Callithrix jacchus: one gene and its partners. The protein of the gene in region 6 interacts with the protein of the main gene of each other region in a biochemical or structural test. Links are inferred from orthologs where the notes say so. Each region holds a gene or a part of one and is shown on either strand. Other genes may lie near its edges. The genes, in order: ZFAND5, BIRC2, WDR48, USP47, ANKIB1, UBC and LTN1.

Region 1 (4,067 bases), on a different chromosome or scaffold from region 6:
ACCTGAAGCGCAACAAAAACCGTATCAAGGAGAGAGAGGCGTAGCAATCTTTAATCACCCAGTGATTTTTTTTGATTACGAACTTTGAGAAACACTAAAGGGACCTCTTCTCCATTCTATATGTGGCTAATATAAGCCCTAAAAGTCATTTCTATGTATTCGTTAGATCATTGTTTACTAGAAAATTTGGGAAGTCCTTTCGGACTTAGTAATTTCATTATTTTGAGTTGAACTGAAAGTCACTTGGATCAGTCAGTTGTAAATGGTTTGTGCTCTGAAACGGTTCCCAGTGTTTCGAGGTAAGTCATCCTTTCACCCAGGGGGGTACCGGTTCCTCGTGCCTGAACTGCCCGCCCAGTACCTCCCCCCTTGAACTTCCTCCCGCAAGCCTCCTCCTCCGCTTCATCTGGGCCTCAGGTCTAGCTTGTTTTGTCCCTTCGCTGCACTTGAGTAGAACATTTGGTGCTTTCCCAGGACACTACATTTTGCTGGAATGGTCAATTTCCAGGGATTTTACAGGCTGGCCAAAACAGTTTGTTCAGAACAGCGCCGCCGGGGCACTGGCAGCCCTAGGCACTAGTAGCCCTGAGAGGCAGCGCGTTTCCTCATCCGCACAGCCACTCGTGACCTTGGGCAAGCGAAGGCGCGCCGCCGGCCGCGTCAGGGCCACGCTCAGGTTGGACTTTGGAGCTGAAAATGGGGGTGGGGAGTGAGGAGGTTTCACAAACAGAAAAGACCCCAAAGCCATAAGGCGGTTCTCATTCTTTTTTGAGGGTTAATCCTTAAAATTCCTGGGGGAGGGAATGTCTACCCAGGGTTGGAGACAAAGCGTGAGAACCAGGATGGCGAAAAACGAGCCTGAATGAGAAAATCCGAAGGAGGGAGGCTGAGGGCGGACAATTGGGTTAAAAATAGAAACGCACCCTCCTCAGGACTCGCTCTTTCCAGCTCCACCCAGAGGCCGAACGCCCGGCCAGTGGCTGGCTCCGCGAGAACCGACAGCGACCCGGCTCAGCCCCGCCTCCCGGACCTACTGACTGAGCGCCGGGGGCGTGGCCTCGGGCCCTCGACGTCACCGCGGCCGCCGCTGTCGGGGTTTTCGCTGACGCACGGGTCCCGCCCCCTCCCCCTCTTTTCCCTCACAGCCCGGCCATCGGGCTGCGAGCCTGTTAGTCGGCCGGGAAGCGAAGCTGTGTGCATCCTCTACGCGGGCTTGTTTGCTCCCGGGAGCCGCGCAGCTTTCCCAGCAGTGGCAGAAGCGGCGTAGAGCGCCATCGACGGGCCCTTACGGCCCCAAGCCTCAGGGCGCGCGATTCGCTCCCCCTTGTCCGCCCAACGTGCCGTCTGTGGAGGCGTGAGGCGACGACGGGCGAGCGCCTAGTGAAGCGTTAGCCGCTGCGGCCTTCGGTCCTCCCTCTGCTCCTCTTCGCCCCCCCCGCTTCCCTCCTCCCACTTACCGAGCTCCGGCGTGTCCCGGCCACGCTCGTCGCCGCTGCAGGAACAAAAGAAGACCCCGCGGCGGCGGCGGCGGCGCCACCTCCGCCTGCGGCTCCGACCCGCTCCCGGCCCGCGGCGGCGGCGGCACCTGGGCGCCCGGCTCAGCCTTCCCGGAGGCCTCAGCCCGGCCTCACCGTGCCGGCTTCGCGCGCGAGCCCGGCTTTCGCATTTGGGGCCCCACAGGGTGAGTGGTACGGGGTTGGGGGCTGGAACCGGGTTCCTTAGGCCGTGCCGGGGGCGGGAGTGAGGGGACGGGCGGCGAACCCGGTGCAGGCCGCGGATGGCGGCGTCCGGGGGAGGGGAGCCCGCCCGCCAGCTCAGGAAGCACAAAGACGGAGGCGTCATCCTGTCGTCGTGGCCCGAGGCCTGGCTCCCCGCTTCCCTGGCTCGCTCCAGAGCGCTGTCGGGAAACAATGCCCGGCGTGCAGCCTCTGCGGGGCTGGTCTCTAGGCCGCTCGCCTCCCGCCCGGCCGCCCTCGGCGGCGGCGGCATCCGGCGTAGGCACCAGGACCCGGAGAAACAAAGAGGCCAAGGCGCCGGCCGCGCCCCCTGCCCGCTGCAAACCCCCCGTTCCCCCCCCCCCCCGCACCGGTTTTTTCTCTGAAGAGCCGTTCGGGGTCGGGGATCGGCGTGGGGCCTGCGGGCGAAGGGCGGGCCGGGCCTGCCGAGCTGCTGTTCTGCTGTTCTGCATGACTCAGTGGTTTTAGGAGAAGGCCCTACTGGGCTTTCCTGAGCGGGGCCTTTGCTTGGAGGGGGATGGGGGAGCAGTGGGACCCGAACTTATTCTAAAATCCATTGGAACATGGGGCCAGGGATTCTCGACGTCGCTGCATGTCTACCCTGAGATCCGTTTTCATGGAGGAAGTGGAGCACCTTCTCCTTTGTTTGATGCATTTAGGCTGGTGAACGTAAAAATTTTGATCGCTTTCCACGCACCTCGCGGAGCTGTGTTTTCGGGGAAGGGTCGGGCTATCTTTTATTGATTGAATGTCTATTAAAGATATAATTTATCATCCAATCCAAGGAGATACTAAGGTAAAGGAACATGTAGGTCACACATCCCGTTCTTAAACCTGGGATTTAGATACAGATTCCTAAAAACCTAAACGAATTCTATTTTATTCCTTATTAGGATTGTTTTTAAAGTAGGATTTCTTAACTCGGTAAAAATATTGCAATTTTATCTTTAAAGAGTTTTCTTAAAATGTTCCCCCACGCCTCCCTAAAAAATTAAGGATTCGTTGTAGTTCTCTCCTGTTTTCTATCTCCCAGGCCCTGAAAAGGAGCCTTTAAAAGTCAATCCTCCTCCATTTGACAAACAGGGAGCTGAAATCTGGAAAATAAGGACTTGCCCAAGGTCACTGGCTTAGTGGCAAACTAGAGACTTGAACTCAGTTCTCAATTCCCAGGTGAGTGGGAATTCATGCCGTCTCATAACGTCTTGTGCACCTGAAGTAACTATATTCCATGGGTGTAAAAGCTCTTTGTTCAGAATTGGAATTGATGAATTTTTCAGTTACACTCAGGTTTTTTTTTTAAGCTGTGAGTTAGAGGAAGCCATAAACTTTATAAAATAAGTGTTTTGGTTATACCTGATAGAGCTGACACGTGCATGCTTAAGTTTCTAATTACTTTAAAGGTGATAAATATAATGGTATTTTTTTTCTAAAATACTGACGAGAAGGGAAATGCAACCTGATGATAACACACATTCTCCACTTCATCCTCCAAATAATTGCCACTAAATGAGAATTCTTTCTTATACGCTCTCTCCACTGTGCTTAGTTTTTTTATAAACAACCTTGACCATTTTAGCTTTGAGTGATTTTTATGCCTTCATCTTCTAGATTGAGATTGTTCTGTAGTTCTTTCTCATTAGGAAAAAAACTAGCAGGCTCTTTTGTTTTCTTATGTTAGATATATGAACGCTGCATCCTTAGTTCTTGGGGTTGTGTAGGAGTTGGCAGGCTTTGAGATATAAATAGAAGCTGATTTCAGAGGCCCCTGTTGACTAGGCTTTATGTGAGAGCCTCCATCCAGCTCGGCTTGTCACATTGCAGCCTTGTGACAGGCTGAAGCGCCCTCCCATGTGATCTAAGCTTCTGAGAAATATTAAAGCAAGCTGTGCACATGTGATGGCATTTAAAAGCTGGCTTTCTAGGTGAAAAAAACCTAAAAGATGGGAACCCGTGTAGAAGACTCTCATGTCATGGTGCCCCTTGTGCGTCTCGCAGTTGAAGGTTATTTATAATGAAATGAAGGTAGACATCTTCTCTGAAGGGAAAGTGGAATACTTTATGTCAAAGTGTGTGAAATCTTTAAATGGAGTATCCTCCATTTTATTTATCTAAAAGATTTTAACAATCAGATTAAAATTACATATGTAGGTTGATTGCTTGGCCTTAAGCCAGTTTGTTTTTAAAGCCAACGTCAGATGACAGTGGACATTAGTGTAGAAAATGTGAGCTGGCATACTTAAACTGGTTTTAAGGAATGACCCAACTTTTATGCATAGGGCAAAGATTCACACATTTTGTGCATGGTGGGCATGCAAATATGTACATATTTAT
Region 2 (3,500 bases), on a different chromosome or scaffold from region 6:
TATCTTGAGGGTTAGTGGATGTCTCTGGAGACCTGCTCTGGGGAGGAGCCTAGCGGTGTTTGCCACTGAGGACCGTGATGGCACTCACCGCATGACTGATACAGATAGCCCTCACCCCTTTTTCTCTAGGTGTCTCTGCTGAGCATATCTCCTAGCTCTCCTTTCTTCGCGGTTATTCTCCCTGTTTTTTCCCCACTGTATTGCTGTAGCCTTATTGGGCCATTGTGTCCTCCCAGAGCTGTATTTGTTTGTGGATAGCTGCCTCTTTGTTGTCTTTTTTGGGCGGAGGATGGCTATTGTCTCCTAGTCTGCTATCTTGCTGATATCACTCTTGGAAACTTTCTTTGAGCTGTGGCTTTTCATTTCTTTAACATTGACTTTTGAAGAGCAGATGTTTTCAATTTTGATGATGTCAGTTTATCAATTTTATCTTTTGTGGATTATGTTTTTGGTCTTTTATCTAATAATTCTTTACCTAATGTAAAGACAAAAGGATTTTTCTCCCGAGCTTTTTTCTAAAGTTTTATTATTTTAGGTTTTTTATTTAGGTGTATGATCCATTTTTACTTTACTTTTGCATATAATATGGGGATAAGTCAGAGATTTTTTTTTCCATGTGAGTATCCAGTTGTGTAGTATCATTTGTTGAAGAAACAAAAGGAATAGAATGGATATAGATGGGATGTGAACTTATTAGAACATCTTTGATAAGCCCTATCAGTTTAAAAACAAATATTTGGAAACACTGTCATATTTAATATGTAGATAAAAATATTTGATTCTATATTTTTTGGAGGGAAGGTAGTTGATTGTGGTTCAAATGTAATAGAAGAGTGAGCATTAAAGAAAGATTAGCCGTTAAATTGTGAAAGATCACATTTTAGGAATATTGAGTTATGTGAAACTGTTAAGTAGTCCACTTTAAGTACAAAATAAATTGTGTATAATAGCATTTTTCAGGAGTTAGCTTGTTCCCCTTTGTAGGTGCACATGCTTTTCTTTTTATTGTTGTGTTAATGGATTGAAATAGAAAATATCATGATATATAACATACAGTAAGATGTATATTGTTTTATGATAATTTTGTTCCTGTTATGTATGTGTTCTGGGTTGTGATATAAAATGTTTTTACTGTGAAGTACAATAAATGATCTGAAAACCATTTTTCTAGAATGATCAGGTTATATTTGATATGAAACAGTTTTTAAAAGTAATTTTCCTCATACGTTTTAGATGTGAGTTCTTGATAAGAATGAAAGGGCAAGAGTTTGTTGATGAGATTCAAGGTAGATATCCTCATCTTCTTGAACAGGTAAATACATTTTTAAAATTAACAACATTGAATTCTGCTTTATAATAACAAAAATATTATTAGGTTGGTGCAAAAGTAATCGTGGTTTTTGCCATTGAAAGTCATGACAAAACTGCAATTACTTTTGCACCAACCTACATTAGAAGTTATACTTATTTCTGGCCAGGCAGTGGCTCACTCCTGTAATCCCAGCACTTTGGGAGATTGAGGTGGGCAGATCACAAGGTCAAGAGATCGAGCCCATCCTGGCCAACATGTGAAACCCCGTCTCCACTAAAAATATAAAAATTAGCTGGGTGTCATGATGTGCACCTGTAGTACCAGCTACTTGGGAGGCTGAGGCAAGAGAATCACTTGAACCTGGGAAGTGGAGGTTGCAGTGAGCTGAGATTGCACCACTGCACTCCAGCCTGGAGACAGAGCGAGACTCTGTCTCGAAAAAAGAAGTTATACTTGTTCCTGTTTTATTAATTGCAGTTACATATTTCATTCATATTAATGACACCTTTGATTTTTATTTTTGTAACCAACTTGATTGTTTAGGGCTTTTTAAAAAATATTGTTTTTACTATTTTGAAAAATCATTTGTGCTGCCACTGTACAAATTCGTGATGGATTGGAGAAGGCTCTTTAGTGTCTCTTTGCTGTTTTCCGGAAAAACAAACAAAAAATAACTTGTTAGGAGCTGACACCCTTTGAGAGTAACCCAGTTAAAATTTTACTTTCCAAATGGAATGATAAACCACTAATACATTTTTCTGCTTTCTTGAAACTAGAGAAATACTTGAATTATAATTTGGGATAACATGAAATTTAAGGAAATCTATGTATTTAGGTAAAAGAAAGCAAAGTGATGGTCATAAATCACTCAGTTCTCAAAAGATTGTATACACTTAAAGTAAACTTAGTTTAAAAGTGTTGTTCCTTTCAGATTGTTGGGGATCTCTGATTTTACCTATTTTCTCTTGTTTCATAGCTGTTGTTAACTTCAGACACTACTGGAGATGAAATTGCTGATCCACCAAGTATGTATGAATTAATTTTAAATATGGAGTGGAAATTTATATAAGAATTTTAGGAATGGGCCAGGTGCAGTGGCTTACATCTGTAATCCCAACACTTTGAGAGGCCGAGGAGGGTAGATCACCTGAAGTCAGTGGTTTGAGACCAGCCTAGCCAACATAGTGAAATTCCGTCTCTACTAAAAATACAAAAAATTAGCCGGGGGTTATGTGCCTGTAGTCCCAGCTAATCTGGAGGCTGAGGCAAGAGAAAAGCTTAAACCAGGAGGTGGAGGATGCAGTGAGCTGAGATTGCGCCACTGCACTCCAGCCTGGGTGACAGAGCGAGACTCCATCACAAAAAAAAAAAAATTTTTTAGGAATCAAAGTATGTATTTTTTAAAAGTGTTTCTGAAGCCATAAGAAAAAAAACTGGGATGTTAGCTAATACTATATATATGTGTGTATATATATATATATATATATATATGTGGAGAGAGAGAGAGAGAGTTGTTAATAAAACTAGAGGATCATAAAAATATACTAGTCTTTGTTCTAGTGCTATACTTACCACTTTTAGTGCTGACATTCCAACTGGAGAAATGAGACAGAAGCAAAAGAAAAACAAATAGCTCAAAGCAACACCAAATAAGAGGTGCAAATAATAAGCCCTCCAGAAAGGAAAAGGTTGCTCTGAGCTAGCATGATTTGGAAAAGGTCAGTTTACATATGATTCAAGAATTGAACTAGATGTTGGGTATTTAAGTCACGTATGTTATATTTAAATGCAAGTGCAGGAAATAGTATAGCTTTTGATTAGAGCTTAATGTTAACCACATCTGTCAGTTTATGTAATATACGTATGTTATGATATCTAAAATGGCTAAGGTAATAATCCATTGTTTTATGTACCAGTCACACCTACAAAGGCCATTCTGTTTGTGGCACAGCATTTCAAGAAAGGTATTGGCAGATTTGTTAACTGGATCAGAGAAAGGTGACCAAGATATATAAGAGTCTTAGAAACCATGGTTCAGGAGGATTGCATGAAGGATTTAGTAGTATTTGATTGGAAAATAGGAATAGGAGTACCTGGGTACATGACGACTATCTCCTGTGTAATAGACTGAGAAAAGATAGACAGCAGTGTGAGCTCTTGTTAAAATTTATAACCACTGCTGTCAAGT
Region 3 (3,078 bases), on a different chromosome or scaffold from region 6:
CCTGAGAAAAGATGACCACGTAATTGTATCAACTTCATCTAAGCATGTGGTTTACTTCATGGTGGACGCCTGGGTTCTTAGCTGAAGTTTCCACTCTTTCTTAACACCTCAGACCTCACTCTGACGTCAGAGGGAAAGAAAACGGGAGGACCTTGAGTGGCCTTTTCAGTTGGATGATGGGCCTCGCCAGCACAGAATCTGTGGCTTTGCCCAAAGGTGAATGCCATGGGTTTCTGTCAAGACACTGAAGTTTTTGTTTGGACCTTTAGGTATCAACCTCAATATTTTAATGTAGAAATGAGAGTTTGGTTTATATGGCTTAAAAAATTAAAGTTTGTTTCCCTTTAATGCCTTCCATTGTTATCTAAGAAGAGCCATGCTACAATTTCATATTACCACTAAGTTACATATATTTTTCTGATGAATTTTCTCCAAGGATGACTTAGGTAATTTGATAGCTTACTATAAATTTCATAGAAAGCCACTTTTAATTTTAAGATAATTATTACTTGCAAGTCATGTTTTCCTGTTAACATTATTTTAGTTAACAGCTAATAGAAACTATTATACCTTTTTAACTTTTACTGTTTCAGAAAAATATGCCCAAATTCAACAAAATTCCTTTCTACCTCCAACCTCATGCATCTTCAGGAGCAAAAACCTTAAAAAAGTAAGTAAACATATGGTTTCTTGATCGAATTAACTACTGGAGATAATTCCTTTTCCTTATGATTGCTTTTGTGGCAAAGGAAGCAAATACCAAATCTAAGGCTGATTTTATAATATTGAAAGTTTATGATTAAACCACTTACCAGGTACCAACTTTAGCCGACTGCAGGTGTTCAGAAGTAAATAAGGCCAGGCACAGTGGCTCATACCTATAATCCCAGCACTTTGGGAGGCTGAGGTGGGAGAATTAATTGATGCCAGGAGTTTGAGACCACCCAGGGGAATGTCGTGAAACCCGTCTCTAGGAAAGATTTAAGTAAAAAAATTAGCTGTGCATGGTAGCACACACCTGTAGTCCAAGCTAGCCAGGGGGTAAAGTAGGAGGGTCCTCAGAGCTTTGAGGCTGCAGTGTGCAAAGATCATGCCACTGCACTCTAGCTTGGGCAACAGAGAGAGACCTTGTCTCTAAGGAAAAAATGATAAAATAAATAAAACATGCATTTTGTCTGTTGCCATAATTCACAGTTTAGGACACAACCTGTATATAATTGCTGTTTGGATACTTAGGGAATAATAAGAATGGGAGAAAAAAATGAGTTTTTGGCTGGAGCTTTCCAGACAGGCTTCTTGAAAGACGTGGAATTTGATCTGGACATGTAAAGATGGGTAGAACTTCGAAAGATAGATATTCCAAGTCCAGGACATGGTGTGATCAGGGATGTGGCAGTGGGAGCATGTGTAAGATAGTGGAAAGTAGTGGGAGGACCCGTGCAACTGCAGCGTGGGATGGAGGGGCAGCAGGGGGATACTAGGACGGAAACTAGAAAGGCGGTTAGAGGTTTTAGAGGTTTTGCTGATGCTGGATTTGAATGCCAAGCCATAGAGTGTGCAGTGGCTAAACACCAGAAACTTTTGAGCCAATGTGGGATATGGCCTAGGGACACCCAAGAGAGGAATTTTAGTAGTGTAGTAATGGAATGCTAAACTGTTAAGAATATGTATATTCTAGCAAGTAAAATCGAAAGTTTTCAAAACCCTTTTATTACAGAGATTTCCGAACTTACACAGAAAGGATAGTGAGCCCCCATTGTCCTATCAGATAGCTTCAGTAATTATCAATACCTTGCTTAACATTTTGCTTCATCTATACCTCTACCTGCCCTCTCACCCACCTCCCTCCACACACATACACACACACACACACACACACTCACATACACGATTATTTTAAACTGAGTCCTAGACATCACTTCAGATAGACTTAACAACTGATGTTCAAATGGTTTTCAGAGTGTAAGCCTTAGTTTTTTGGTGTGGTGGAGATACAGAAGTAGGGTGTTGATGAATCTAGTTTGGGACATGCAGAGTTTGAGGTGCCTGTAGGATATCCAGCTGTTGGATTTGTGGTTTAGAACAGAAGCCTGAGACTCCAGGTCTAGACTCAGGCCCACAGGTGCTAGTTGAAGGCATGGCAGTGGGGAGGAGAGCCCAGGGAAAGCTGAGCACTCAGTGTTGGACCCTGGTAAGCATTGGGAGCTGCCTTCCTTTCCAGAATTATTTAGTTTGCCCAGGCTCTGGGAAAGCATTCAAGGGAATAAAACCCAGAAGGCTACTATGTATGCATATGTAGTGTTTTTGTTTCTTTAGTTGGTTTGTTTTTTTTTTAAATGGAGCCTCACTCTGTCGCCCAGGCTAGAGTGTAGTGGCATGATCTCGGCTCACCGCAGCCTCTGCCTCCCGAGTAGCTGAGATTACAGGCATGCACCACCACACCCAGGTAATTTTTTGTATTTTGGTAGAGACAGGGTTTCACCATGTTGGTTAGCCAGGCTGGTCTCGAACTCCTGACCTGAAGTGATCCACCTGCCTCGGCCTCCCAAAGTGCCGAGATTACAGGCATGAGGCACCACACCTGGCCTGTACATGCAAGTTTTAAGGACATGAATTAATCTCATTTAGTTGTACATAAACTGTGTCTTTGAAGGACACTGTAGAAAATCCTTTGGCAACTCTAAAAATGGATTAAGGGAATGACTAAAAACATGGGTTTATTTTTCATCTTTATAAAACGTTCACATCAAAGAAAAAGAATTTGGAAAAGATAATACCTCAGTGATTTCCCTGATGTCACAATATGCCATTGCTTTTTACAGAGATAGACTCTCTGCTAGTGACATGCTCCAGGTCCGGAAAGTTATGGAACATGTTTATGAAAAAATTATCAACTTGGATAATGAGTCTCAAACCACTAGCTCTTCTAATAATGAAAAACCAGGAGAACAGGAAAAAGAAGAGGATATTGCTGTGTTGGCAGAGGAGAAAATTGAACTTTTGTGCCAGGACCAGGTAAGTGGACTTGAGGACCACAGCCCCATTTTTGCCAGTGCTGGTGCTCATAAGGAATTACGT
Region 4 (3,500 bases), on a different chromosome or scaffold from region 6:
ACAAAGTAGTTATAGCCAATAAATTAACACTCTACCAAAGCTATCCTAAACATTTTACATGTATTGGCCTCAGAACACAACTTTGAGGTTTAAATACTATTATCTCCATTTTATAGCAAAGGTAATTAAAGTACAGAGAAGTTAAGAAGTCACAGTCACAAATCTGATATATGAAGAGGAGCCAGGAATTCATTCAGTCTAGGCCATCAAATTCTAGAACCAGTCGATTATAATCACCACGTTAAACTATATCAGTAACCAACAAACATTTTTGTCTTCCTATGAAATAACACTACTAGAGGTTAGGAAAGAAACCAGAATATTCATAAAAGCTTACATTTGATTAATGCTTTAGAAAAGACTTTTACTATATGTTATGATCACATGGGAAAACTGAGGCTGAGGGAGATTGGATGACCTCCCTACAGCCATTTATCAGAGTAAAGTGACAAAACTGAAATCTAGCCATAGGCTTTCAAATTCTAATCAAGTAATTTTTGGATGACACTGTTCTGTTAAGAAATTTAGTACCTTTATTGGATAGCATAGACAGAGCTTGTTTGCCATAAGCTGGATTATTGACATAGAAGGGTACTCCTTATAGATTAAAAAGTGACATTTTAAACAAATCAAGAGAAATACTGCCTCAAAACTCAAAAGGTAGATAATGAATAAAGTTCATCATCCTCTTCATATTTTCTTCAAATCTGTACTTGTCACATTTTCTATTAATGAACCTATATTTTATAGCCAGGAAAGCAGTGAACATTATTTTATTTGAAAAAATCAGCCAGGTGCTGTGGCTTAAGCCTGTAATCCCAGCACTTAGGGAGGCCGAGGCGGGTGGATCACAAGGTCAAGAGATCGAGACCATCCTGGTCAACATGGTGAAACCCCGTCTCTACTAAAAATACAAAAAAAAAATTAGCTGGGCATGGTGGTGCGTGCCTGTAATCCCAGCTACTCAGGAGGCTGAGGCAGGAGAATTGCCTGAACCCAGGAGGCAGAGGTTGCGGTGAGCCGAGATCACACCATTGCACTCCAGCCTGGGTAACGAGTGAAACTCCGTCTCAAAAAAAAAAAAGTCATCTGAGAAAAATTCAACCTAAGCGTTGATATGACATGGGAATGTAAACCAGGAGTGTTTTAGTACCTCATCCTTTACCTTCCAAGTAGCTTTCACAGAAAAACAAGACCTAACATGGAGGGAGCCCTAGAGCCAGGGAGGTCCAGCAGTCTGAGGCAGCATGGTAGCCCTGCCTTATTAGCAGAGAGTCTGGTTTCTGCTTTTTACTACAATATGAAGACCACAGTAGAAGCATTCCAGATGTGTCCTCATGAGTGGCTTATAAAATTAGGGACAAAAGATTAAAATAATAAGCATTAGAGAAAAATCAAGCTCATCAGAGATAATCTTTACAGTAGCAAGAGAGCTTAAATTTAAGCCTGGAAGAGGTAAGAGTTTCTGATCCATTTAAATACAGTTCTTGTTACAGCCCAACCATATGATAAATCAGACATCTTAGTATGCTAGTCGTGACATTTTTTCTAGTGAAAATTCTGAAAATTAGATAATATTACTGACAGTTTTTGAGACAGTTACTATATTGGCACTGCGCTGAAAGCATGATAAATGAATTACGTCACTGAAATCATATTGCATCACTCAGGTGGGCACTATTATCACCTCCATTTTTCTAGTAAAGAAAATGGAGGTACAGCGGCTGGTGACTGGTGCCATGTCCCATATAGTAAGTAAGCAGAGGAGGTAGGATTGGAACCACTAGAACTTACACCATGACTGTGTAGAGCTAGAAATGTGTATATTTTAAAAGAATTCCTAGAAGCTTGTTTTTGAGTTTGGCAGCCTAAGCAAACAAACACTTAAATAGCTCAGAACATTTTAAGCTGTTGGATAATACTTACCAGAAACTCTGTGTCCATGATTTTTCTCCATTCAGTGTGATATATTAGCTTAACTGAAAAGGGGTACTTTTTCCTGCAACAGTGTTATAAAAAGTATATGATCTGTTTTATTTATACTCAGGTTTCTTTTACATTTTGTTCCTGCTTTGTTTTTTTCTTTGTATGTGTGTGCTTAGGGATGATGGTGCATGTTGATAAAAGAATTACTCTGGCAGCTTTCAAACAACACCTAGAGCCCTTTGTTGGAGTTTTATCCTCTCACTTCAAGGTCTTTCGAGTGTATGCCAGCAATCAAGAGTTTGAGAGCGTCCGGCTGAATGAGACACTTTCATCATTTTCTGATGACAATAAGGTTGATTAAAATAATCTTCAAGCAGTTAGAGTCTATTTTGAATGATAGATTTGAGAACAGCTTTTACTACTTCCAAGTAGGGTGAAGTAGATACACTAGAAGAAACTTTTTTTTAAATGTTTAATGGTAATTTGGGGGGTTTTTTGTTGCTTTTCTTCACTCATCTAACAAATGTTTGTAAAATGTTAACTGTGGGTCAGTTACTGTTCTAGGTGCTAGGGATTCAGAGGTAAAAGTTATGCCTGTTCTCAGAGAGCCTATAATCTAGAGAATTTTGGAAGGTTTAAAATGGGATGAGAATGGGTTGTTTATTCTGCTGAGACAGCATATCTAAAAAAATATTTTTAACTTATAGATTACAATTCGACTGGGGAGAGCACTTAAAAAAGGAGAATACAGAGTTAAAGTGTACCAGCTTTTGGTCAATGAACAAGAGGTAAGTAATACATTTAAGAACAATATAAGGTTACTTTTTACAGTTACTAAAAACATACATTGTAGAGATTTTATTCCTAGTCATTTTATTTTTCTGAAGCAGAGGTCAGCAAATGTTTTCTGAGCCTTGTAGTTTAGCAGGCCGTACTGCCTCTGTTGCAGTTACTCACTTCTGCTGTTGTAGCACAAGGAGCCATAGACAATAATAAACCATTGAGAATAGCTGTGTCTCAACATTTTATTTACAAAAGCAGGCAACAGTGAACTTGGCCCTCAGACCACTGTTTGTCATCCCTCTGCTCTAAAGTGTTGCTACAAATGCTGAAATGAGACAACATTTTCCTGCTTTTAAAAAGAATTTTATGTGTGTTTGTGTGTGCTTGCTTTCTGGAAATTATCATAGAATGCTACAGGTGAAGAGCAGTTGAAAGTCATTTTATTATGTAACAAGCATTTATATAGTATCTACTGTGTGCTTTAAGTGCTTGCAAATATTAACTCATTTAATCCTCATCAATTATGATACAAGCATTATTTCTTATTCCCATTCTATAGTTAAACTGAGGCAGAAAGAAGTTAAGTATCTTGTCAAGGTCACACTGCTTGTAAATGGTGTGGTTAATGATCTTAAACAGGCTATGTTTTTTAAGGAATCATCAATGAACCATTTTAGTCCCTGTGGTATACTAGCCTTACCACAAACACCTAAAAGAAAAAGGCAAAGATCATATTTTTCAGAATGTTATAGCATCCTATTGTCATAACATTCTGTTATAACATTGTTATA
Region 5 (4,292 bases), on a different chromosome or scaffold from region 6:
TACTTTTTTACCATGTCCCCAAAATATTCTTACAACGATTTTCAAGAACTATTCCTACTTGACTACTTAAAATCTACATTCTTCCAGAGACATGAAAGAAGGAAACAAAGGCTTAAGTCAGGAAAACAACAAAAGCAACTAACATAGGAAGGTAAAACTACTAAGACAGAAACACCTACAAATTGATAGAAAATGAGTAGTTTTAGCTAAAATAAGAGAAAGGTATAACTAGAGTTTGCAATATGTTTAGAGTGAGTCTGAGATGAGGGTTCAACTGAATAAGTACAGGAAACGTGGCATTTTGTTATATGGCTCACTGTATTCTAGAAAATGTTAGGCACAAATGATAATATGCTGCCTAAGTAATGAAACGTTATAAATAAAGTGGTGTAAGTGGTTCCTTAATTGGGAGGTGGCACCTACCTGGGATCACTGGAAAATATGGAGGGCATTTCTGGTTGTCACTATGACTGGTGAGGGGAGGTGTACAACTGCCATTTAGTGTCCATGGAACAGGTTTGCTAATATCCTTAGTATGCTAGACAGTGCTTGCAAACAGAAACTGTAAAGACACATAGGTGCTCCAGAAGAGTTAAGAAAATGAGGCTGAGATCCTGAGTTAGACTAGCGAGATAAAAGACTTCTGGAGAGGTTAAAAACACCACGTAGAAAAGGCGATGAAAGCAAAAAACCTTAAAAGGTGGAAAAAGGTGTGGAGGCAAGAAATGAGTTAGAGAGGGAGAAATGAGTTAGAAGTGAGCTGCGAATCGCTTTCCCTGCAATGACAAAAATACGTAATCACTTTGCATGGGAGGTTTTTTTCCTGCGCCACCACCCATCGACGTCCACTACCAGAGAAAAATTTAAGTCTCTTTGCTCAAAGAGTTTCCACCCAAAAAGTGGCTTTGGTTTCTCTGTAACTAAATGTGGAAAATAAACTCCTTGCCTGGGGCAACTAGATGTGGAGATGGTTCAGTCTCCCACCTCTGTTTTCCCTCGCTGGAGTCGAACTTGCTCCTTCTGTTTCCCAGAAGGAACCAAGAGGTCCCACCCGTACGGACGCCGCGAGTGCCTCTCCGGCCGCTACATTCAACTAAATGAGTGGGACAGTCACCTGGCGGGGGGGGGGAGGCAGGGACCGTCACCGCTTTCTCATTCCTCCTTCCCTTCTTCCAGGCACAGCAGCCTGGCCCAGCTTCCTGTGACGGAAAAACCCTCATTTGCCAAGCCGACCGCAGTGTTCCCCCGCGCTCCCCACCCGGGGCCCCAAAAGCTCAGGTCTCTGGAGTCGGAGACCCTCTTGCCCACCTGCTCTTTATTGTCCTTCCCTCTCCTCGGACCTCGGCATCATTCAACCCTCACCCTCTCCCGAAACTATGGGGTCCCAGGTCTTCAGAGGCCTTAGCTTTCCACCCCGCAGCTACCGTGGCTAGGAAATCGCTTCCGGGTCCACACCCTTTGCAGCCTCGCGGTTGGCGGAGGAAGAGCTTCCGGGTCGGCGGCCGGGCTGCTGCCGTTCCTGCTGCTTCTCGGTGGACTTGCAGTCTCTCAGGGGCCGGTGGCAGGCGACTAGGAGACTAGGGTGGTGGTGACGGGGGTGCCAGCAGCTGAGCCGGAGCCGGGGGAGGGGAAGAGGGCGGCCTGGGCTGAGAGCGTGCAAAGCTGGAGCATGAGCCGGACTTGACCGCGAGGCGGAGGCAAGAGCCACCGCCCCCTCTTCCCCTCCCCAGAGTGAGGCGGCGCGGCGGCAGCCGGAGAGGGATGGGGGGCACCCACCCTGTCTGAGCCTCGTCGCGGGCGCCTCTGGCTCTTGCTGCTCGCGGGCCGCCAGTGCGCACCGTCGGCCACATCAGCCTTCGCCTGTCGGGGGTGCACTCGGGCAGGCGAGGAAGGGGCACCCGTCGGGGTGGGTGGGGCGGCAGGGTACCTGAGGTCACCAGCTCGGCTGTAGAGGCAGGGGCGGCGGAGGCGGAACTGCGGAGCTGCAGGGTCCACCGACCTTTACCTTCGGCGGGAGCGGTAACCGTAAGTCTCAGCTTCTGTACGGATCTGTTTGAGGCTCTCTCTACCGATTTTGGGCTCCGAGTTCAAAGCTACCTAGTTCACGCCCTCCTGGATCTACTAGGAGTGTGCCTGTCTCCTGTTTTGGAGCATTGTCCCTCTGTCCTCACCCCTGAACAGGCAGCATTCTCTGTCTCCCCTATAGGGCTTTTCTCCCAGGGAATTTGCAAGCCTCCAGGTCTCCGTGACGCGTCCCATCCTCCCCATCTGGATACATCTTCTTGTCCCTCTGTCCTCAAAGGATCTGTGTCCTTCTTCGCATCCTCCCCTGCCCATCCTTTGAGACGTGGAAAGCCGCGGGTTCTGCCGATCTCGGCGGCTAGAGAGAGTCTTTAGGAATGGATGGGTAAAAGTGCTCTGCAGGGCTGTGCTGGGTGGGGATAGGTGCAGATGGTTCCAGTGAACCTTTATTTTTTGCAGCTTCTGCCACCAAAACAAAAGAGTGGAGCGCTCCCCTGTATTCTGATTTTTCTCCCTATGTACGAGCTATTTTCTGTACGTGGCTGTTTGAGATGCAGGAAATTGAAACTGGAGCTGTAATAAAGCATCTCCTGAGGATGTTTTGAGAATTAGTCTCCCTAGCTCTTCACACGGAATGGCATGTCGAACAATCTTGTTTGAAATGACCATCCATTTCAGAAGATCTTTACTAGTAGGTCTGTTAGATGAATGTAAAGATAAGAGTCTGCTGTTTCAAATAGTGTATTTTAGATACCTTTAAATTTTAGTGTTTTTCATCTAGTTCTTAATTTGTGAAGTATGTGGGTATGTGTAAGGTGTGAAAATCTTTGTATTGGAAGCTTTTGCTTTGGTAATGGAGACAAGAAACTTAAAAAGATCATATTAGATAGTATTTGATAATTATTTTCAATCCTTAATTCCAGAGAAAATTTTTTAATTCCAGAGAAATCAGCTACTCACAGATATTACACACCTTGCTGCCTATGACATTCTTGCTTCTTAGTTTAAATTGTGAATATCTTCAAAGTGTATTTTCAGATTTTGAACTAGACTTTTTTCTCATTAGAATTTGATTTGCTTTTTAAACTGCTACTGCAGAACTTTCCAGAAATTAGATTTAAAAATAATTTTAATGCTGACAGTGATTGAACAATAGCTCTTATCTGACTTCATGCATCTGCTACTTTTCAGAGCACCATAGGAAGCAAATGATAATTTAAGAATAATTTTACTCTGTACTGCAGATTGGTATTCTTCAAACTACTGTGTAGTATGAACTGGTAGCTTTGGTGTTTTGTGTTGCTGAAAAGCATTGTCATTTCATTAAGAAAGATGGATATATTTAATGATTTTTCCCCCAAATCTCATTTCATCAGTTGATTTGGGGCTATTATTTGATTTGTAACTTCTCACTGTTCACAGATGTTAATTTGAAGTAGGCTCAGGAGATGTAGCTCCAGCTCTCTCTCTGGAAATGTACTTAGCACAGAAACCAAGCACTGTACGGAGTTGAGCGTATTATTAAGGGTGTGGCTTTTGCTTTCTGTAAAATTGGTCAGTTTCTGAATAAGAGTAGGGTGCAATGGTGAGGTGATGGGTGCTATCTTGGAGAAGTCTTAGAAAAAAGTATTTGTTGATTCTCTCTTTTCCTTGGGGTAGGATGGGGAAGATAGGATTATATTTTCCTATTGCACTGGTCCCACTGAGAATTTTGAGTTTTCAGTATGTAAGGATTCTGAAACTGAGCAGACTGTGCTGTAAACAAGGGCTTTAACAGGTAGGTGGCTCCTGAAACATAGGAGGGAGCCACTATAGCACCCTACTCTTATTCAGAAACTGACCAATTTTACAGAAAGCAAAAGCCACACCCTTAATAATACACTCAACTGAAACATAGGAGGGAAATTTTGTTAGCCATTCTTTTGTACTCCTGTGGCACTGCCCACTTCTCAAAGAGTAAGTTTTCTTTACTTTCTTTTCTGGGGTATGCACTCAAACTTGTGAAAGTGAAATATGCGTATTTACAACTTGCTTGTAGATAAAAGTGTAAGCTCATTTTCATATATAAGTAGATGGACGAACTATGAATTAAGTTAATTTGAATGTCCTTGAAATGAAGTTGGAAAAGATTCCTGAATGTTTTGGGTAATTTTTCCCCCTTTGAAGATCACATAACATTTATTTAAATTAAGTTTTAAAAGATTTCCTTCAAATATTTGACACATTTGCCAAAAAGCATTTGGGAGGGGACTAAATCATTATTAAAGAGA
Region 6 (3,748 bases):
CCTATGTACTTCATTCTTTCACAGGGACCCTCTCATCACTCCCACCTTTTAATATTCCTTCTCCCTTCCTGTTACCTCACACACCCCCAACCAGTATTTTTAAGTAACTTGAAAAAGTATCTCCCAATAACCTGATTACGACAGTCTTGCTCTGTTCCCCCAGGTGGAAGTACCGTGCTGCGATCTCAAATCACTGCCAACCTCTGCCTCCTGGGTTCAAGGGATTCTCCTGCCTCAGCCTCCGGTGTAGCTGGGATTACAAGCACCTGCCACACCTTTTTGTATTTTCAGTAGAGCTGGGGTTTCACCATGTTGGCCAAGCTGGTCTTGAACCTGCGTTTTATTTGCACCCACTTTCTACAGTTCATATTGTAAATCTACCTCCCCCCATTCACTGACATTTCATGGTTACCACGGTAACATTTGCGGACTGGAAACCTTGATCCCCTTCACCCTATCTAATGCAAAAATACCTTAACTTAAAAAAAAACCCACACCAATTGGGAATGCAACAACTTTATTGAAAGAAAAGTGCAATGAGATTTGTTGAAACCTTAAAGGGGAAACTTAAACACCCCCCCTCAAGCGCAGGACCAAGTGCAGAGTGGACTCTTTCTGGATATTGTAATCAGAGAGGGTGCGCCCATCTTCCAGCTGCTTTCCGGCAAAGATCAACCTCTGCTGGTCAGGAGGGATGCCTTCCTTGTCTTGGATCTTTGCCTTGACGTTCTCAATGGTGTCACTGGGCTCGACCTCAAGGGTGATGGTCTTACCGGTCAGGGTCTTCACGAAGATCTGCATGCCACCTCGGAGACGGAGAACGAGATGAAGGGTAGACTCTTTCTGGATGTTGTAGTCAGACAGGGTGCGCCCATCTTCCAGCTGCTTTCCGGCAAAGATCAACCTCTGCTGGTCAGGAGGGATTCCCTCCTTGTCCTGGATCTTTGCCTTGACGTTCTCAATGGTGTCACTGGGCTCGACCTCAAGGGTGATGGTCTTACCAGTCAGGGTCTTCACGAAGATCTGCATGCCACCTCTGAGACGGAGGACAAGGTGCAGAGTGGACTCTTTCTGGATGTTGTAGTCAGACAGGGTGCGCCCATCTTCCAGCTGCTTTCCGGCAAAGATCAACCTCTGCTGGTCAGGAGGGATACCTTCCTTGTCTTGGATCTTGGCCTTGACGTTCTCAATGGTGTCACTGGGCTCGACCTCAAGGGTGATGGTCTTACCAGTCAGGGTCTTCACGAAGATCTGCATGCCACCTCGGAGACGGAGAACGAGGTGAAGGGTGGACTCCTTCTGGATATTGTAATCAGACAGGGTGCGCCCATCTTCCAGCTGCTTTCCAGCAAAGATCAACCTCTGCTGGTCAGGAGGGATACCCTCCTTGTCTTGGATCTTGGCCTTGACATTCTCGATGGTGTCACTGGGCTCGACCTCAAGGGTGATGGTCTTACCAGTCAGGGTCTTCACGAAGATCTGCATGCCACCTCTGAGACGGAGGACGAGGTGCAGAGTGGACTCTTTCTGAATGTTGTAGTCAGACAGGGTGCGCCCATCTTCCAGCTGCTTTCCGGCAAAGATCAACCTCTGCTGGTCAGGAGGGATGCCCTCCTTGTCCTGGATCTTGGCCTTGACGTTCTCGATGGTGTCACTGGGCTCGACTTCAAGGGTGATGGTCTTGCCGGTCAGGGTCTTCACGAAGATCTGCATGCCACCTCGGAGACGGAGGACGAGATGAAGGGTAGACTCTTTCTGGATGTTGTAGTCAGACAGGGTGCGCCCATCTTCCAGCTGCTTTCCGGCAAAGATCAACCTCTGCTGGTCAGGAGGGATGCCTTCCTTGTCCTGGATCTTGGCCTTGACATTCTCAATGGTGTCACTGGGCTCGACCTCAAGGGTGATGGTCTTACCAGTCAGGGTCTTCACGAAGATCTGCATGCCACCTCGGAGACGGAGGACAAGGTGCAGAGTGGACTCCTTCTGGATATTGTAGTCAGACAGGGTGCGCCCATCTTCCAGCTGCTTTCCGGCAAAGATCAACCTCTGCTGGTCAGGAGGGATGCCTTCCTTGTCCTGGATCTTGGCCTTGACATTCTCAATGGTGTCACTGGGCTCGACCTCAAGGGTGATGGTCTTACCAGTCAGGGTCTTCACGAAGATCTGCATGCCACCTCGGAGACGGAGGACAAGGTGCAGAGTGGACTCCTTCTGGATATTGTAGTCAGACAGGGTGCGCCCATCTTCCAGCTGCTTTCCGGCAAAGATCAACCTCTGCTGGTCAGGAGGGATGCCTTCCTTGTCCTGGATCTTGGCCTTGACGTTCTCAATGGTGTCACTGGGCTCGACCTCAAGGGTGATGGTCTTGCCGGTCAGGGTCTTCACGAAGATCTGCATTGTCTGTTTTGACAAAAAGCCAAAAACCACCAGGATTTAGCAATTTATTAGCCTTCCTAATGCTGTAAGTTAAATGTCACATTGACCCAAACAATTAAAACTTGCGTTACTTCACAAAACACACTCACCAGCCTGTTTTCAAAACCCAGGCTTCAACTCCTTACAACCGTAGGTACACAAAACCGACCGAAGACACTGAAGCCTCGCTTACCCTTCCCTCTCGGGAGGTCTGGCGCCTGTCGATTCAGGAGGTCCTACCCTAGGCCCAACCCTGCGTCCTGCGACGGAGAAGAGCCCACCGCTCACCTCCCGGCAGGTGGCCCCGCCCCGCAATTATGAGCCGACAGAACGAGAACGGGTGACGTCACCACAGAGCGAAGGCGCGCTCTCCCCCCCCCACAGCGCGCCCCATTGCCGCGCGGCCACGCGGTAACCGCTACCCCCGCAACGGACAAGACGAGCTCTCCAGTCAATCACAAACTTCACGTCAGGGTCCCCCAATGGTGCCCCAGCCCATCCCACGAGAATCAGAGCTTTCCGGCATTAGCGAAGGCCTCCAAGCCTTGAGTCCATGCCCCCCAACCTTGTTTCAACGACCTCACGGCCCGCCTCACAGGCGTCTTCCACGCAGCGCTCGGAACAGCCGCCATTTTGCTGCGTTCTCCCCACCTCAAGCCCACCTTTCTAGCGGACACAGCCGACAGCCCTCCCCAGTCTCTAGACCCGGGGCGGCAACCCGCCTCCATCCCACCTCGCGGCCGTTCGGCCCCGAAAGCCCCAGCCCGCCCAGAACCCCACTGCTCACCAAGCGGCGATGACAGCAACGGACAAACCACGAACACAACTGCACTCCCGGCTGCGACGGAACTAGCTGCACCACGCCCGGAGCGTCCTTATATAGTCATCGGCGTACACCGCCCCGAGGAGATCCCTCCGCAGAACCGCCGAGAAGGGACTATTTTTCCCCGCCTGTTCCGCTCTCTGGAAAGAAAACCAGTTCCCTAGAGTCACCCAGGTCCCGTCCTAAAATGTCCTCCTGCTGAGACTGGGGTTCTGGGCCGAGTCTGGTGGGCAGCGGGCCGCCGTCCTGAGAGGCCGGGCGGAGGGATCAAGGCACTAGCTGCGCACTGCGATTGTGACGTAGCGGCGCTCGCCGTGGGGAGGGAGCCGCCCGCGGGAGGCGCCAAAACCCGGCCCGGAACTGCGGCGCCTGGAGTCGGTGGGCGGCCGGCGTTCTTCGGCTGCGATCGTGCACCCCCTCCCTTCAGCCCCCGCGGTCGCCACGGGTCGCCAACTCGTGTTCGGTGGACGTGGGGCGGGAACTGAGCGCCTCCCGCAGAGTCGGGGTGTC
Region 7 (3,500 bases), on a different chromosome or scaffold from region 6:
TGAGGTTTTTTTCTTTGTAGATGTTTTATTTTTTAAAAAACAACTGTGGAGTTTCTCCCATAGTAGCCTGTGAAGGAGCTCTTCAGACTAGTCCCCTATGGCGTAAACAGAAATGGTGTATTCTCCTGCTACATACAATAGACAAAGCTTCCAGAACAGAGTAATAATAGCCAGTAGTATAGTTGTTAATCCTTAATTATGTTAATAACTTAATTTTAGGCTATGCAGGAATTTGGAACCATGTGTACAGAGAGAGACACAGAAACTGTGAAAGGAGTTCTTCCATATTGGCCAAGAATTTTTTGCAAAATTTCACTTGTAAGTATTCAAACTTTGCTAGTTTATTTCTGTTGTATGTTTTTGGTTGGAGTCATGGAGACTCTCAAATTTGTAAGGTTGATTTTTGGTGAGGGTTATTAAATGTTAGATTAGTCTTGTTATACAGATTGAATTTTTAACACTGGAGAAGAGTGTAGAAATAAAAAAGATTGGGGCCAGGTACGATGGCTCATACCTATAATCCCAGCACTTTGGAAGGCTGAGTTGGGCAGATCACTTTAGGTCAGGAGTTTGAGACCAGCCTGACTAATATGGTGAAACCCTGTCTCTACTAAAAATACCAAAATTAGCCAGGCATGGTGGCGGATGTCTGTAATCCCAGCTACTTGGGAGCCTGAGGCAGGAGAATCCCTTGAACCCAGGAGGCGGATGTTGCAGTGAGTCAAGATCTCATCAGTGCACTCTAGCCTGGACAACAGAGAGAGACAACGTCTTTAAAAAAAAAAAAAAAAGAAAATTACTGGATTGTGTTGGGTTATGAAGAACATTGAGGAAATCTGTTTTCAGAAATAAGGTTGTTACTAGAGAATTACCCAGGTGCTTTCCAGTTTTAATACATTTTGACAATTATTTTATTCCCTGTAAATTTGCTGCAGAAGAATGAGAGTGAGTTGCTTAATTATTCAAGGCCCAACTTTTTTTTTTTTAAATTGAGACGGAGTCTTGCTCTGTCACCCAGGCTGGAGTGCAGTGGCACAATCTCTGCTCACTGTAACCTCTGTTTCCAGGGTTCAAGTGATTCTCCTGCCTCAGCCTCCTGAGTAGCTGGGATTACAGGTGTGTGCCACCATGCCTTGCTAATTTTTTGTATTTTTTATTAGAGATGGGGGTTTTACCATGTTGGCCAGGCTGGTCTCAAACTCCTGTCTGTAAATGATCAGCCCACTTTGGCCTCCCAAAGTGCTGGGATTATAGGTGTGAGCCACCGTGCTCAGCCTCAAGGCTCAACTTTGAATCTGTTTTGAATATAATCCTATCATTGGGAAAAGGGGAGAAAGAAAAATTAATTATTTTACATAATTTCTGATTTAAAAAACCTCTAAATTATTGATTTAAAAAATTGATTTCAGTTTGGCTCAATACATAGGTGAATTCTTGGTAATGGGTCATTATAGCATATTTGGAAATGTCTGTGACTGTTTTTCTGGACTAGAGCTATTTTAAATCACATTTATATTTTTAATAGGATCATGATCGTCGGGTCCGAGAAGCCACACAGCAAGCTTTTGAAAAACTTATCCTTAAAGTAAAGAAACAGTTGGCTCCCTACTTAAAAAGTTTAATGGGATATTGGCTAATGGCTCAGTGTGATACTTACACACCAGCTGCTTTTGCGGCAAAAGATGCATTTGAAGCGGCTTTTCCTCCAAGCAAGCAACCTGAAGCCATAGCATTTTGTAAAGATGAAATTACAAGTGTAAGTTCTGGAATCATTCTGAATTTTTTTTTTTTTTTTTAAGTGTTTCAGGTTATAAGCATACCATAATGACAGCTCTTTTACTTAGGATTGCAGGGGAATGAGTAAGTATAATATTTCCAACTGAAGATTGCCATTTTAAGATTCTGTTTAGTAAAGTTGACTAATTTGGATCTGTAACAATTTAACATTTGGATTGGATCTTTCTGCAGTATTTCTATTTTTCATTTTAGTTTTGAAGTCTTTATTTTTTAAAAAAGTAGATATGTTTTATAATGTGTAATCTAAACAAAGAATGTATCTAAGAATAAATCTAAATTATTTTCTCTGATATTTCCATTTCAGTACATATATACAGATCTACCTTAGTCTCTTTTTGTTGGCTTTCTGGTGTAACTTTACTTGAATGTACTATAGTTTAACTCTTTTTATATTAATATACATTTGAATTTTTTTCTAATTTTTTATCATAACAAATGCTACTTCAGTAAACATTCTTGAGTAGAACTCTTCATACGCTTGTGGGAGTGATACATACTAGAACTTGTAGTAAGCATTTGTTGGGCCAAAGGATAAGAACATTAAAAATTTTTATAAAAAATGATAACTGGCCCTTCAGAAGGCCAAACAAATTTATACTCCCATTATCAGATAAAGTTTCTTCACACTGGGCCAACACTTTTGCCATAACTTTTTCATAAAAAGTTACCAGCCATACCTGTTTGTGGCTTTCAGTGTGTCTGTTTCTAGTAGTATCTTATTTCTTCCCCCTTTATTTGCTGTTCCCAATATATGGCCTTGAAAAACGAGACAACAGAGTTGTTAGAATTATATGGAGAAATAAAGTAGATGAAGTAGGAGTGAGGAGGGACTTGATAATTAAAAAAAAAAAGTCCATGCTTGCATTTATTCCCTTATTTAGTACTCCTATGTTTCCACAACACCCTGCGTATAACCCTACTTAAACATTTCTGTCTGACCCTCTCTCTCTATTTTCCTTTCTCCTTTCAATTAGCCATCCTGCTGTGGCTCTCCATTACACTATCAATTCAAATGTCTTGTCTTCACATACACTTGTCTTATGGTGTAATATAAGGCAAATTTCTGCACGATCTGGTCCCTGCTTACCTGTCTAATCTCTTCACCGAACACTTCCCACCACATTACTTGATTCTAGTTCCCCATTTAGGTTCTTCCATTTTTCATTTCTCAGGTGTACCAAGCTTGTTTTTCTAGGGAGAAGGCTTGTAGCTTTAATCATATGCTCAAATGGAGTTCTCTAGCCCATCTGTAACTTGAGAATTTTTGGTTGATTTAAAATGCCAAGCGATAAATGTTATGAGAGTGAAGTGTCGTGAGTTTGGACATTAAGAGTTTTAGGAAATGGATTTTGAGACAACTAATTTGGCTCTTCATAGGCTTTAAAAAAATAAATTTGTTCTTGGCTTTGTCATGGATGGTAACAGAATGAACATATGGGTTCTGTTATCCATATGTTCATTCTTCTATTTTATTTTCCCTTTAGTTGGCTATGCCACAGTTCAGCTATTGGCATTGAACTGTCTCAAATTCCAAACCCATGTATTAGGAGATAGACAAATGAAAATCAAAATGTCAACATTATAGATAGAATATCATACTGTCTATAAAACATTACGATAAATGTCTCTAGGTCACACCATTAGTTCTAGTCCCACTCTGCCATCAGGTATCAACTAGGTGTGTGACCCTGGGCAAGTTTCTG

Evidence for each region.
Region 1: the proteins of UBC (region 6) and ZFAND5 form a complex in vitro, tested with the Homo sapiens proteins (5 studies listed by BioGRID and IntAct, with this or other methods). The link is inferred for Callithrix jacchus from reciprocal best matches to the Homo sapiens genes UBC and ZFAND5.
Region 2: the proteins of UBC (region 6) and BIRC2 form a complex in vitro, tested with the Homo sapiens proteins (6 studies listed by BioGRID and IntAct, with this or other methods). The link is inferred for Callithrix jacchus from reciprocal best matches to the Homo sapiens genes UBC and BIRC2.
Region 3: the proteins of UBC (region 6) and WDR48 are reported together in a solved structure, tested with the Homo sapiens proteins (2 studies listed by BioGRID, with this or other methods). The link is inferred for Callithrix jacchus from reciprocal best matches to the Homo sapiens genes UBC and WDR48.
Region 4: the proteins of UBC (region 6) and USP47 form a complex in vitro, tested with the Homo sapiens proteins (2 studies listed by BioGRID, with this or other methods). The link is inferred for Callithrix jacchus from reciprocal best matches to the Homo sapiens genes UBC and USP47.
Region 5: the proteins of UBC (region 6) and ANKIB1 form a complex in vitro, tested with the Homo sapiens proteins (2 studies listed by BioGRID). The link is inferred for Callithrix jacchus from reciprocal best matches to the Homo sapiens genes UBC and ANKIB1.
Region 7: of the proteins of UBC (region 6) and LTN1, one has a biochemical effect on the other in vitro, tested with the Homo sapiens proteins (2 studies listed by BioGRID). The link is inferred for Callithrix jacchus from reciprocal best matches to the Homo sapiens genes UBC and LTN1.

What each region holds. Positions count from the first base shown.
Region 1 is NC_133502.1:92,473,291-92,477,357, forward strand, and holds the start of ZFAND5 (AN1-type zinc finger protein 5), read left to right. Parts: upstream 1-1,267; 5' UTR 1,268-1,681; intron 1,682-2,117; exon of another isoform or gene 2,118-2,532; intron 2,533-2,769; exon of another isoform or gene 2,770-2,819; 5' UTR 2,820-2,906; intron 2,907-4,067. Other genes in the region: uncharacterized protein LOC144578672, read left to right, coding at 291-676, 949-1,267. UniProt on the Homo sapiens protein: Involved in protein degradation via the ubiquitin-proteasome system. May act by anchoring ubiquitinated proteins to the proteasome. Plays a role in ubiquitin-mediated protein degradation during muscle atrophy.
Region 2 is NC_133511.1:2,401,419-2,404,918, forward strand, and holds part of BIRC2 (baculoviral IAP repeat-containing protein 2), read left to right. Parts: intron 1-1,233; coding exon 1,234-1,312; intron 1,313-2,288; coding exon 2,289-2,337; intron 2,338-3,500. UniProt on the Homo sapiens protein: Multi-functional protein which regulates not only caspases and apoptosis, but also modulates inflammatory signaling and immunity, mitogenic kinase signaling, and cell proliferation, as well as cell invasion and metastasis.
Region 3 is NC_133518.1:76,948,039-76,951,116, forward strand, and holds part of WDR48 (WD repeat-containing protein 48), read left to right. Parts: intron 1-593; coding exon 594-670; intron 671-2,822; coding exon 2,823-3,015; intron 3,016-3,078. UniProt on the Homo sapiens protein: Regulator of deubiquitinating complexes, which acts as a strong activator of USP1, USP12 and USP46. Enhances the USP1-mediated deubiquitination of FANCD2; USP1 being almost inactive by itself.
Region 4 is NC_133511.1:77,826,860-77,830,359, forward strand, and holds part of USP47 (ubiquitin carboxyl-terminal hydrolase 47), read left to right. Parts: intron 1-2,102; coding exon 2,103-2,278; intron 2,279-2,633; coding exon 2,634-2,714; intron 2,715-3,500. UniProt on the Homo sapiens protein: Ubiquitin-specific protease that specifically deubiquitinates monoubiquitinated DNA polymerase beta (POLB), stabilizing POLB thereby playing a role in base-excision repair (BER). Acts as a regulator of cell growth and genome integrity.
Region 5 is NC_133512.1:57,373,075-57,377,366, reverse strand, and holds the start of ANKIB1 (ankyrin repeat and IBR domain-containing protein 1), read left to right. Parts: upstream 1-1,492; 5' UTR 1,493-2,025; intron 2,026-4,292. UniProt on the Homo sapiens protein: Might act as an E3 ubiquitin-protein ligase, or as part of E3 complex, which accepts ubiquitin from specific E2 ubiquitin-conjugating enzymes and then transfers it to substrates.
Region 6 is NC_133510.1:128,100,836-128,104,583, forward strand, and holds UBC (polyubiquitin-C), read right to left. Parts: upstream 2,413-3,748; 5' UTR 2,398-2,412; coding exon 568-2,397; 3' UTR 501-567; downstream 1-500.
Region 7 is NC_133522.1:35,055,263-35,058,762, reverse strand, and holds part of LTN1 (E3 ubiquitin-protein ligase listerin), read left to right. Parts: intron 1-219; coding exon 220-318; intron 319-1,525; coding exon 1,526-1,756; intron 1,757-3,500.